3 linked regions of the Caenorhabditis elegans genome follow. The protein of the gene in region 2 interacts with the protein of the main gene of each other region in a pairwise test. Each region holds a gene or a part of one and is shown on either strand. Other genes may lie near its edges. The genes, in order: hsp-17, ubl-5 and npp-9.

Region 1 (3,521 bases), on a different chromosome or scaffold from region 2:
ACAGTCATTCCAGCGGCTTCAGATTCTACGCAATCGTCAAATTCAATAGTAAAACTGAAATTATTTTCAAAATTTACAAGATGATATGAACTATTAAAACTCTTCAATCCGGCCTGTCTATTTTTTTTTACAAAACAGTATGGCATTAGAAATAATCTACTTACTTGAATTCCCAACCACTCATTAGATTCTCCCTTTTCAATCTATCAACTGCAATTGAAGCTGCTGCTGCAGATGTACGATATCCAACAGTGATAGGTGCACTTTGAAAGTCTCTACAGTGAATAAATCCCACTCGAATCACATTTCCAGTGGTACCTGTTGCAACTTGGGGAAACATAGGTTTAGGTAACAACTGAAAAAAAATCATTTTTATTTTGTGGAATTCGCTTTCAAAACCTACCGTAATCACTAAAAACAAAACTAGAGACATTGAATAGAAGGGCTTCATGATTATTTTCTTATGCTAAACTGGCAGACAGCAGATCTTTTTATATCTGCACAAGGGGCGGTGGGATTTATAGAAACTTAAGTTTACTACGCCTGCCGCCTAATCCGTGAAACCTTATTTTTATATTTTTCCGCCTCCCGAAACAGTTGATACGTGAAAAAGCACGGAAGAGAAAAAAGCTTCTTTTGGACTTGATTAATCTGTTGGTCATGAGAAAGCGTGACACAAGGTAGGTTACGGTAGCAATTGCGTAATTAATCGGATCAGTCTATGCGCATTTCTGAAACATTGGGGATTTCAAATCTAGTTTATCAAACAGATACAAATCACATTGACATCTCGTGGAAACAGTCTGTAAAGTACCGCAAATTTTACAATTTTTGATATTATTGTCGTTAAACAAGTTCCATTTCAAATTTTTTATTGAATACGGTAAAAAAACAAGAGAGGCAGCTGGTTGAAGTGAGTCACTCTTGTTGAGTTTTCGTTACTGGAAACCTGAATGAAGATAGTTTTTAACTTTAGCATTACGCCTCATTATTTTCCTATTTCCTTTTTACTATTTTACTTGTATTTTTAAACTTTGTTTAGCACATTGAGCACATAAAACCAAATGTTATAAATATCCTTATCATCAACCCATCGGTTTCTTTTTAACTTTTTTCTTTCTCGAATTTCAATGACCCGGAAAACCACCACATCATATGAAAATCGAATCTAAAAATTTGCAGATACGCATCTGTCCTGCTGCGCTCTTTTTTTATTTTTGAATGTTTTTTTTTCTGCAAACGTTGGGAACAGTCATCCAATCCTTCAACCGTTCGTCTCGTTTTGAATGACAAACGTTCTCTTTCCGTCCTCTGTTTGAGTATATTTACATTGCTAATTCAAAAAAAAATAGTATAGAATATAATGATACTTAGAGATAGTTCTGGCATAAAGTTTAAACTTGAATGAAATCATCAATGCCATTAATAACTGTGTCACTGCATTAGTTTATCAGCAAGTGTGCCAGCAAAAAAAACGTTTCGAGACGATTCGATACATTCCTGAAAAACTTCGATAAAAGGGAAGTATCCAAACAACCACACCCAACTTTCATCATTGACTCGCTGTTTTGCTTTTTATTTTTGTTAATCTTCCTTACAATTAGTTTTAAAGTTTAAAACAAATATTACATGTTAGAAAGAACTGTATTTTGGTCAGTTTGTTCGAATAATTTCGAAATCTAAAACCTTTTCTTTTTGATGATTCGTCGGAGTAGATGTTTCTCGAAGGAGGTAAAAAAAACCGTGGGCGATTCTTGTTTGCATTGAGGATAATAGAGCAGTAGTAGAAAAGCAGGGAGTGTCAACTCAGTTTTGTCTTCTTCTTCCCCTATTTCTGTCTTACTTTCGTTTTGTTTCTTTGAAATAATTAGATTTTCAGAAACTATTATAAAATGGATCGTCGTTTTCCACCATTCTCCCCATTCTTTAACCATGGCCGGTAAGTTTCTAAATTCTCGTGTTTTCGGAAACTTCTATAGTTGAAGTAACATAACTTTCTGTAAATTTTCTTCTTTAATAAGTGACGTCACTCAAATTGTACTCTGCGCCGCTAGTTCTTAAAATACACAAGAATTTAATTTGGCGCGATTTCTAAAAATAAGCTAGCGAGAGGACTTTGTACTCCAGTTTAGCAAATAATGCTCTGAAAAATCATAAAGACTGGAGATTTTGACATATTTTTCTGCAATTAGAAAATTAGAAAATTAACTTTAAAAATTTTACAAAACTCCTACAAACAAGTTTTCTAGCAGATTCTTCGATGACGTCGACTTTGATCGCCACATGATCCGACCATACTGGGCCGATCAAACAATGCTCACTGGACACCGAGTAGGAGATGCTATTGATGTTGTGAACAACGATCAAGAATACAATGTATCTGTAGATGTTTCACAGTTTGAACCAGAAGAGTTGAAAGTGAACATTGTTGATAATCAGCTAATCATCGAAGGAAAGCATAACGAGAAGACTGATAAATATGGACAGGTGAGGGTTTCCCTCCTTCTTGAAAAACTCAAGTTTTGTATGAAGCTAGTGCAACTTGAAAATGTTTTCATGCATCCTTAGATTAGCTCTCAAGATCCTGAAACCTTACTCGGAAAAGGGCAAAAAGTTATCCAAAATAAAGGCCAAGAGTTCTAGATTATCCTTCCGCCTGTTACGCAATACAAGGAAGCCAAGCAACTCATTTCCGAGCTTATAACGAAGTTGTACTAAAGTCTAAAACCTCGTTGTGCATACTTTCAGGTAGAGCGTCACTTTGTCCGGAAGTATAACCTTCCAACAGGGGTCCGTCCAGAACAAATCAAGTCCGAATTGAGCAACAATGGAGTGCTCACTGTCAAATATGAGAAGAATCAGGAACAGCAGCCAAAATCCATTCCAATCACAATTGTGCCAAAGAGAAACTGATTTCAGTTACCTAAGTGTCTGTATTTTAACTATTTCAAAAATATTTATTCAATTCCATTATTGAAGTGACAATATAAACATTTTGTTTAGACTCCAACAATCTTTTGAACCGTAATGAATAGAGCATATGGGAACATGGATGGCCTCTTCACTTTCACATAAACTGAGCAGAAGTTGAAATCATCATAATAATCATAATCGATTCGAACTCCTTGTGAGTTTAAATCAACTTGCATTGAAGCGATTGAAGTATCGTTTGGTGATCCAATCGTTGAGAAAACCTTGAATTTAATCATGAAATCTTTTCAAATAGTGACGAAATTATACCTGTTGTGCTAGAGCAAGTGGAAGACTTCCATTGATAACTGCAGATGATACAATGACGTTTTCGAGTGTTTTATCTTGACAATGAGATTGACACCATTGAACTTGGGATACATCTTTTCCGCAATTGGAAAGTGAAGCGTCTGGAAATTTCTTAAAATCGATAGGAAATCTTTTAAAATTAGTTTAGAATACTGATGCAACACATTAAACATGATAAGATTCATTCTTTCCTGTTAGCAGATTAATTTATAATTGATGAGCTTTCTCTATCAATGACGTTT
Region 2 (3,123 bases):
ATTTTAGTTTCAGTTCTATTCGTATTTATTCATTTTTCTTATAATTTTATGCATAAATTCTCAAAATTTATTGATTTTTCTTGTCTTGTGCTGACTCGGTTCTTTTCCAATTATTATATGTACATCTTAAGAATAATCACGAAATCCTGTGAAAATAATTAAATCATTTTCAGTACCGAAAACCTTAAAATGGCCTCACAAACCCAGGGAATTCAGCAACTTTTGGCCGCTGAGAAACGTGCCGCTGAGAAGATCAACGAAGCTCGTAAGAGAAAGTTGCAGAGAACGAAGCAGGCCAAGCAAGAGGCTCAAGCTGAGGTGGAGAAGTACAAGCAGGTAATAAATATTGATTTTAATTTAAATTTTAAAAAACTAATTATTCAGCAACGCGAGGCAGAGTTCAAGGCATTTGAACAACAATACTTGGGAACCAAAGAAGATATTGAGAGCAAGATTCGTCGTGATACTGAGGATCAAATCAGTGGAATGAAGCAATCTGTGGCTGGAAACAAGCAAGCTGTGAGTTTGAACAAATTTCCACACAACTTTGGGAAATCTTTTGCACTTTGCAAAATATTTACTGGAGAACTTTCAAAAAAAATTTCTCGAATTTAAATAAAATGTTCTAAAATAATTTTATTGAATTTCTATATTTGTCACCAAATTAAAATATAGTTATTGTAAAACGGCACATACACATTTTTGGCTCACACTCTCGAAAGTTGCATAATATCTCAATAAAATCCGTTAATTTCAGGTCATTGTCCGTCTCCTTCAACTCGTTTGCGACATCAAGCCAGAGCTCCATCATAACTTGACTCTCCAGAAGAAACTTCACGGACAGTTCGCTGCCTAAACTTTTCGTTTTCTTTAATCTCTGACAATTCTGATCATTCCAACTTTCGCTAAGTCCCGCCCCTTACTTTTATGATGTGATATCCCTCTCCCATCAATTTCTAACCAATTCTGTAGAATTCTCCATTTTCAATTAAAAAATTATAGTCGTCACTTTTTTTTCTGTGACGACGTATTGTATACTATTTACAAAGAAAAAGCTTATACGTCAAAGTATTTCGTCGAATAAAGGTTTTATAGAGCTGATTATAAACTGGAAATTATTCTTTCTCTACGAATTAATCAATAAACGTATTCAGAAGAGGTTTTTCGCAAGTGTGAAACGCTATGTTCAAAAACTGCAGATTTTACCATACTTGCGCTTTTTTATAATTCCGAGATTAATTTTTGGAAAAAATAGCAAAATTTAAGCAGTTTATGTTTAAAAAAGTTCGTTTTTAAATACGCTCAAATAAAAAAAGTAAGTTTTAATTTTAAGTTTCAAAGGGTTGAGTCTCGCCGCGAGAATTGAGTTCTTGAAAAATAATTGGTGCATGCGCCTTTAAGTTTACTGATTACATTGCAAGTCTGCATTTGCGCGTCGAGTTGTGTGTTTTTACGTACATTCGAAATAGTTATATTTATTTATTGCGCAATTGCATTAATGTTTTTCTATACCGAATTTTCATTGCTTTCTTGCAAAATACATGTATTTTCTTAAGAAATTTGTGAATATTTTAAATTATACATAATTGTTTGACCTTTCAGGAAAAATGATTGAAATCACAGTAAACGATCGACTCGGAAAAAAAGTACGAATCAAGTGCAATCCATCAGATACAATTGGAGATTTGAAGAAGTTGATCGCTGCACAAACTGGAACACGGTGAGATTTGAAAATTACCTTTTTGAATTTGATAATCTTTTTGAAATTGACTGATGATCCCACAATCTTTTTTTCTGAATTCTTAAACTTGAAAATCAATTATATTGAAAAAAAAAGAATTTAGCTTTTTTATAGACTTTAGAAGTTAGAAGTTAAAACGTTTGAAAGGAAAAAAAGAACTTAAAAACTAAAAAAAATCAAAAATGGCACAAAAAGTCGTTATTAAAATGATCTCGAGCTAGGAAATCGCGTTTTAAAATACAATTTTTCTGTGTTTTGCCATCTCATGCGGCTATTCGCATATGTTATTTTCGTATGTTTTATATATTAGAAACAAATTGAAAATTTGAAAAACGGCAATTTGCCGATTTGCCCAAAGTTTTCCAAGATATTTTACATGAGAAAAAACATTAATAACATTTTCATAGATTTTACTTGCATGTCAAAATAGTTCTAGGACATTAAAATAGTGCATTTAATTTTGCAGAATTTATAATAAAAATTTAAAAATTTACAACAATTGCAAAACGAAAAATTTCCGACTTTGCAAAAAAAAACTTGCCTCCCAGCCCTGTGTTTTATTAAATAATTGATTTTTTTGTAATTTGATCATAAATTTCGACCGCCATTCTTGGTGATGAAATATACATTTTTTATTGTTTAATAAAAAAAAATCAATTAAATTTCAGATGGGAAAAGATCGTGTTGAAAAAGTGGTACACCATTTACAAGGATCATATCACATTGATGGATTACGAGATTCACGAGGGATTCAATTTCGAGCTCTACTACCAATGATTCATCAGAATTCATTTCATTTTTTAAACAATTATTTACTTTTCAACTTTTCATGAATTTCAATTTAATTTTTTTTGACTTCGAATAAATTTCAACACTTTCTTGATTTAAATGCACTTTTAAAAACATCTTATATTCATTCTTCCACCCCATTAATTTCTGCCGTCTTGTTTGACCACTCCCTCTTTCTTCGCTCCCACCCGAGTAGGCTCCGCCCATTTGTTCGACCCAAAAGATTTTGTCCGATTTTTTCTCTTTTTCTCTCTAATTCTCTTCGCCTATCAATGTGTTTGCGCGAAACAGTTTAGTGTGGATAGAGAAAAATCAGTGGATAGTTAATTTTTGCAGATGTTTTTTTTTTGAATTTTCAAAAATATTACTTCTAAAAGACATTTCAGACCAAGGGCAATGGCTGCTGCAGCTCTGTGCTGTGCTTCAAGGGTACGTTTTTAAATTGAAAAGTTTGAATCCCGAAAGCTTAAAATGAAATATTTATAGAATACAAAAATAAAACAACTTTTGAAAATTAATAAAAAAATATCTCAAAAGTTAAAAAAAAAGTTTCTCTAAATAGAAATATTCAAACATATGGTATCAATAAGCAG
Region 3 (5,732 bases), on a different chromosome or scaffold from region 2:
TAAAACTCTCACAATAGAGGTATTTGCTGGATTTTCAGCTTTAGTTTCTCCTGATTCTCCGGTGAATCTTTTAGAAATCGACGCGGATGCATCACTGCCAGCAGGCTGCTCATTCTGCAATTTTATCGATTTTTTCTCAGTTTTCAGTGGATTTTTACCATCGCCTGCCGATATTGTCCAACTTGAGCGGCGAGTTGTTCTCCATACTGCTGAGCTGATTGTTTAAGCTTTCCGGCTTCATTATCCAGCCGGTTTTTCAGGTTTTTGAACATTTAAACCTGAAAAAATCGATTTTTTAGTGGGGAATTTGCAATAAAATCGAAAAAAAAAGTATTTTAAAGGTTAAAAACCATATTTTTAAGAAGAAAAAATCATGAAAAGTTGAAAAAAATTCATTTCAAAAAACAAAAACAGAAAAAATAACAAATTTTAATCAAATTAAGCCTGAGATCCGTTTGAGAGTTTTCTTTTCAATCCGTTTTCCTTCGATTTTCCCAGATTTTCACAAAGTTTGATAGTTTTCACGGACAAATCGATCATATCAACAGCGTTGGCAATGGATTTTGACAATGATTTCGGATCTTTTGATTCGATTTTTCTGAAAATTAACTTATTTATTTAGTTATTCGAATAGAAAAACTATTACATGACTACAAATTCGCCTTCGCTGCACACTTCCCGTCGAGCACCACTTCTTCTCGGCTCTTTATCGATTTTTATGACATCTGCCACGGTTCGAGCCGCTTCTTCTGTTCCGACGGATAATCGTACGCTTCTGGAATTAATCGGATTAGAAACTGCTGTTAGAACTTCAGAAAATGTTAATTTTGAAACAAAAACATTTAAAAAACAGTTTGTTTTTTGTGTTTTTTAGCGAAAAACTCACGCTGAGTGGATATATGCCGTGCTCGGAGAGCTTGGGTCACATTCGTCCTCTGAAGATGACGATGAGCTTGTGTCTACTTCCATTTTGTTGTTGTAATCACTAAAAAACACAATTTTGAAAGTTTCTGATGAAAAATCAATAAATTCGCTGAGAAAAGTGAATAATAAATGCTATTCCAGGCAAAATTGACATTTCAAAAACCGAAAAAGCCATAAAAAACGACGGAAAATATCAAAAATCCTGTTTTTCGCCTGAAAAACCGGTATTTTCCATGAATAATTGCCAACTCATGGTTAAAGGCGCGCGTGTCGATTTACGCAACGGGTCTCGCCACGGCGCAGGAATTTGAACTTTTTTCGAAATTTGCGAAGCTTGGCGCCCAATTTCTATTTATTTTAGACTGTTTCGCCATAGTTTTTCCGTATTTTTACGAAAAATAGCTGGAAAACATTTTTTGTGCGTTTAAAAGCATATTTTATACAGAAAAGACTAGTTTTAAAGGTAGGAAAGCCCTATTTTAAGCAGGGAAAGCGTTGGCGCGAAATTTCGAAATTCAAATCCCTGGCGCGAATTCTTTGAAGTATTGCTGCTAATTTTCAACTAAAGAGACCGCAGTATTCGTCTTTTTATCTCGCTTTAGCTTGAAGTCTCTTGAATTGTTTACCTGATATTTTTCATATTTCAGCTCTCCTTTCGCAATGAGCGATCAGAAGCCGGTAAGTGAATCTTTTCGAATGTTGCTCAACATGATTCACGGTATTTCAGAATATGGGGCGCATTGTCGCCAGCGTCGTGGATGTGCAGCAGTTGATGACAATGCAGTTTGACTCGCTTATCAAAAGCATGGACTCGTTGAAGGTATGCGATTCATGAAAAACTCAATTTAATACTTATTTTTCACAGATTGAGCACCAGACCGGCGTCACCCAGCTTCGCGATGATATTCGTCGATCCGAGGATCGGTTTCAGAAGCAGTTGTCCGATTTGAGCACTAATCACGGAAAAGAGCTCGAGAGACTTCATCAAATTATACACACTCTTCTTGCTCGTGATGCGAATCCTCTCGGCTCAATGATTCCTCCACAGCAGCTTCAGCAACAACAGCAAATGTTGATTCTTCAGCGACAAATGGAGATGGCTCATGTGCAGGCAGCACAAGCTCAAGCTCATGCTCACGCTCAAGCTCAAGCCCAAGCACAGGCCCAAAGCCAAGTTATGGCTAATTTGCTCAATGCTGCGAAGCCAGCTATTCCCGTTACACAGCCACTGGTCGCCACTACAGCACAAGCAAAATCGACAGTTCCAGCTTCTGGAGTTATTGCACCAAAGGTAACAAATTTTCGGGTTTTAGTTCCAGCAATTAAAAATTCAATATTTTTCAGACATCTCCACCAGAAGTTGTAATTCCACCTGCTAAGCCAACATTCTCTACTCCAACGCCTGCAGTTGTTCCAAAGCCAGCCACCACCGGATTCTCATTCGGCGGGACCAATCCAGCTACTTCAATCTTCGGTAAAAAGCCTGAAACTGCTTCCCCAGTCGTGGTTCCAGCAGCTAAAGATGATGAAGACGAAGAACATGATGAGGATTACGAGCCAGAGGGCGAGTTCAAGCCAGTCATTCCACTGCCAGATCTTGTCGAGGTGAAAACTGGAGAAGAAGGAGAGCAAACCATGTTCTGCAATCGTTCAAAACTCTACATTTATGCCAACGAGACGAAGGAATGGAAGGAGCGAGGAACCGGCGAGCTGAAGGTTCTCTACAACAAGGACAAGAAGTCGTGGAGAGTTGTTATGCGACGAGACCAGGTGACCATTTCGGAGGAGACACTCCCTTCAAATATTGAGAATGGAACCGAAGAATTGTGTTGGAATATTCAGGTTATTCCAATTACAGCTTTTTTCACATTTTTCGGCGTTTTCCTCAACAGAAAGATCTTAATTTAAATTTAAATACCTTAATTTAGCATTAAAATAAATTACAGGTTCTCAAAGTCTGTGCCAATTTCCCAATTCTCGGCTCGATGACCATTCAACAAATGAAATCCAACGAGAAGGCCTACACATGGTTCTGCGAGGACTTTTCCGAAGATCAGCCAGCTCACGTGAAGCTTTCCGCTCGTTTCGCTAACGTCGATATCGCTGGAGAGTTTAAGACTTTGTTCGAGAAGGCTGTCGCTGAGGCAAAATCATCGAGCAACGCTGGAAAGACCATCGACAAGGAAATCAAGCCGGCGGCTGAGGTGAAGAAGGAAGTCAAGCAAGAAGTTGTGATTCCATCAAACAACAAACCGGAAGAGACTGGATTTGGAGATCAGTTCAAGCCAAAACCAGGATCTTGGGAATGCCCTGGATGCTATGTTACTTGCAAAGCTGACGAGATTGAATGTGCCTGTTGTGGGACATCGAAAGACGGATCTGTCAAAGAGAAAAATATATTCTCTAAGTAAATATTCTATTTGAGTTATCTTAAAATTAAAAATTTAAATTTGCAGACCTTCGATCCTCCAGCCTGCCCCAGGAACTCCAAAAGTGACATTCGGATTCGGAGCATCTGCTCCAGCCAAGGAACCTCTTGCTCAAACATCTCAGTTCGGTGGATCACTCAGCGGATCTCCAAGCACTAGCAGTAGCATTTTCGGTGGTGGAACACCAAAGGGAACAAGCGTTTTCGGTGGAGGTGCTGCTAATACTCCAACTTTCTCATTCAACAAGCCAGCTGCCGCTGTCAATGCAACTACCCCATCGTTCAATTTCAACAATCCTGCAGCTTCAACTGCTTCTCCGGCAACCTCTACGACTCCAGGAAATTCATTGTTCGGAGGTGGACTCTCCAAGACTGAATCTACAGCTTCTTCAACTACTACTCCGTCGTTTATGTTCGCCAAGAATTCTGAAAGTGCCTTCCCAAAGCCAACTTTCTCATTCGGAAAGCAACAGACTCCATCAACGACTGCACCAGCTAAACAAGAAGAAAATAAACAGTCCGAGACGCCAAAATCCGTGTTCGGTAGTGGATTCACGTCTGGAGGTGCAACATTCGCTGCCCTTTCAGCCAACTCTGCCAAATCTGGCTCCATTTTCGACGCAGCAAATGTCAAGAAGGCCCAAGAAGAACTTGCTGCTCAGAAGAAGGCAAGCATTTTCGGGAGCAAGAACACCACGTTGAACACGACTTCTGCAACTTCACACGATGGTGATGAGACGAATGAGGATGGAGATGGGGAGTATGAGCCAGAAGTCGAGTTTAAGCCAGTTATTCCTCTTCCGGATTTGGTTGAGGTGAAAACTGGTGAAGAGGACGAGGAGGTCATGTTCTCCGCCAGATGCAAGCTTTATAAGTACTATTCGGATCTCAAGGAGAATAAGGAACGTGGACTCGGAGATATTAAGGTCAGATTTAGGATTTTATATCAAAATGAGCCAGCTTGGCATGTTCTTTTGATAGTTTTCATTAAAATTTAGTGATAAAACGTAGAAAATAACTTATTTCAGTTGAAACAGTTAAGAAAAGTGCTAGTTTTGCGCACTTTTCAACTGTTTTGCAAGTATTTTCTATGTTTTTTCACTAAATTTTAATGAAAACTATTAAGAAAACAACTGATTTTTGACTCATAGAGGCTAAATTTGAGAAAAATAATTTATTATTTCAGCTCCTGAAAAGCAATGACAACAAATATCGAATCGTGATGCGTCGTGAGCAAGTCCATAAGCTCTGTGCCAATTTCCGTATCGAAAAGTCGATGAAGCTCAGTCCGAAGCCAAACTTGCCAAATGTGCTCACATTTATGTGCCAGGTAGCAATTTTTAATTTCTTTTTATATAAAAATGTACTATAAATTCCTTATTTTTCAGGACTTCTCAGAAGACGCCTCCAACGCTGATCCAGCCATCTTCACCGCCAAATTCAAGGACGAGGCGACCGCCGGAGCATTCAAGACGGCTGTTCAGGATGCTCAATCGAAGATGTAATCCTCTGCTGATTATTTAAATTATTTTATTATTGTTATTCCTCCCCACCCAGCACTCTGTGTTAGTATTCCCCACCACCAATTTTATTTATGAACCTAGTTTTATTCATCCCCATCTGCTGTCATCTATAGTCCTTTAAGTGTAGTTTATATTTGTCTGGTAAGGTTTTTAAAAAAATAATTTCCTTATTTCCCCCCCATCTCTCTCAAAATCCCATTGTTCTCATAAGTACCCCCCACACACTATCATTCATAATTTTTGTCTTTAAAACTTAACTATATTGTTCACATTGTCCCGGCATCGATTTTTCCCCACTGGTGACAATCCAATAAATTGTGAATGCATTGAAGAATGAGATTTATTTTGAGGGCGGGAAACAAATAAATAGGGATTAGGAAAAAAAAGAAATAAATTATCGTTTTATTTGATCATCAAGATGGGTGATATCTGAGAAGACGAGAACTTTCGATGGAATTGTACGCTGTGGGCAGAGAATTGACATTGTTCGCTTCTCCAAATCAACCTGAAATTTGGATAAAATTGAAATTTCCGTTCGAGACCCAAAAACTCGACGAAATACCAACCTCCGTGACAAGACAAAATCCAAAAACCGGCGATTTCAGCACATTTTCGTCGGCTTTCGTGCTCCGCGAGAACGCGAACAAATGATGTTTAATGTCGGCACTGGGCTCCATGATAACCAGCTTTGTCTCATGATTTTCAACTTCCATTCCGAATGGTAGACATGAATCGGGCAGTTGCTCGGCTCCGATTTTACAAAGAGTGACGTCATCGAAGCTGACGTCAAATGTGAATGGGTAGAGATTGTTGGCACGGGTTCCGTAGAAATACTGCAAAAAAAAAGTTTTTTCTTA

The links.
Region 1: the proteins of ubl-5 (region 2) and hsp-17 interact in a two-hybrid assay, tested with the Caenorhabditis elegans proteins (one large-scale study listed by BioGRID).
Region 3: the proteins of ubl-5 (region 2) and npp-9 interact in a two-hybrid assay, tested with the Caenorhabditis elegans proteins (one large-scale study listed by BioGRID).

What each region holds. Positions count from the first base shown.
Region 1 is NC_003283.11:8,384,286-8,387,806, reverse strand, and holds hsp-17 (SHSP domain-containing protein), read left to right. Parts: upstream 1-1,879; 5' UTR 1,880-1,892; coding exon 1,893-1,939; intron 1,940-2,249; coding exon 2,250-2,487; intron 2,488-2,748; coding exon 2,749-2,913; 3' UTR 2,914-2,999; downstream 3,000-3,521. Other genes in the region: gcy-7 (Guanylate cyclase), read right to left, coding at 1-54, 165-355, 404-451; F52E1.14 (ZP domain-containing protein), read right to left, coding at 3,000-3,194, 3,241-3,380.
Region 2 is NC_003279.8:5,607,321-5,610,443, reverse strand, and holds ubl-5 (Ubiquitin-like protein 5), read left to right. Parts: upstream 1-1,602; 5' UTR 1,603-1,607; coding exon 1,608-1,720; intron 1,721-2,409; coding exon 2,410-2,518; 3' UTR 2,519-2,618; downstream 2,619-3,123. Other genes in the region: vha-10 (putative V-type proton ATPase subunit G), read left to right, coding at 190-336, 385-519, 758-856; tns-1 (Tensin homolog), read left to right, coding at 2,927-2,959.
Region 3 is NC_003281.10:3,400,116-3,405,847, reverse strand, and holds npp-9 (Nuclear Pore complex Protein), read left to right. Parts: upstream 1-1,571; 5' UTR 1,572-1,584; coding exon 1,585-1,602; intron 1,603-1,651; coding exon 1,652-1,744; intron 1,745-1,789; coding exon 1,790-2,215; intron 2,216-2,268; coding exon 2,269-2,766; intron 2,767-2,870; coding exon 2,871-3,331; intron 3,332-3,380; coding exon 3,381-4,278; intron 4,279-4,538; coding exon 4,539-4,682; intron 4,683-4,740; coding exon 4,741-4,857; 3' UTR 4,858-5,204; downstream 5,205-5,732. Other genes in the region: golg-4 (GRIP domain-containing protein), read right to left, coding at 13-114, 159-272; F59A2.5 (L antigen family member 3), read right to left, coding at 439-598, 647-775, 887-969; Protein clpf-1, read right to left, coding at 5,270-5,380, 5,442-5,708.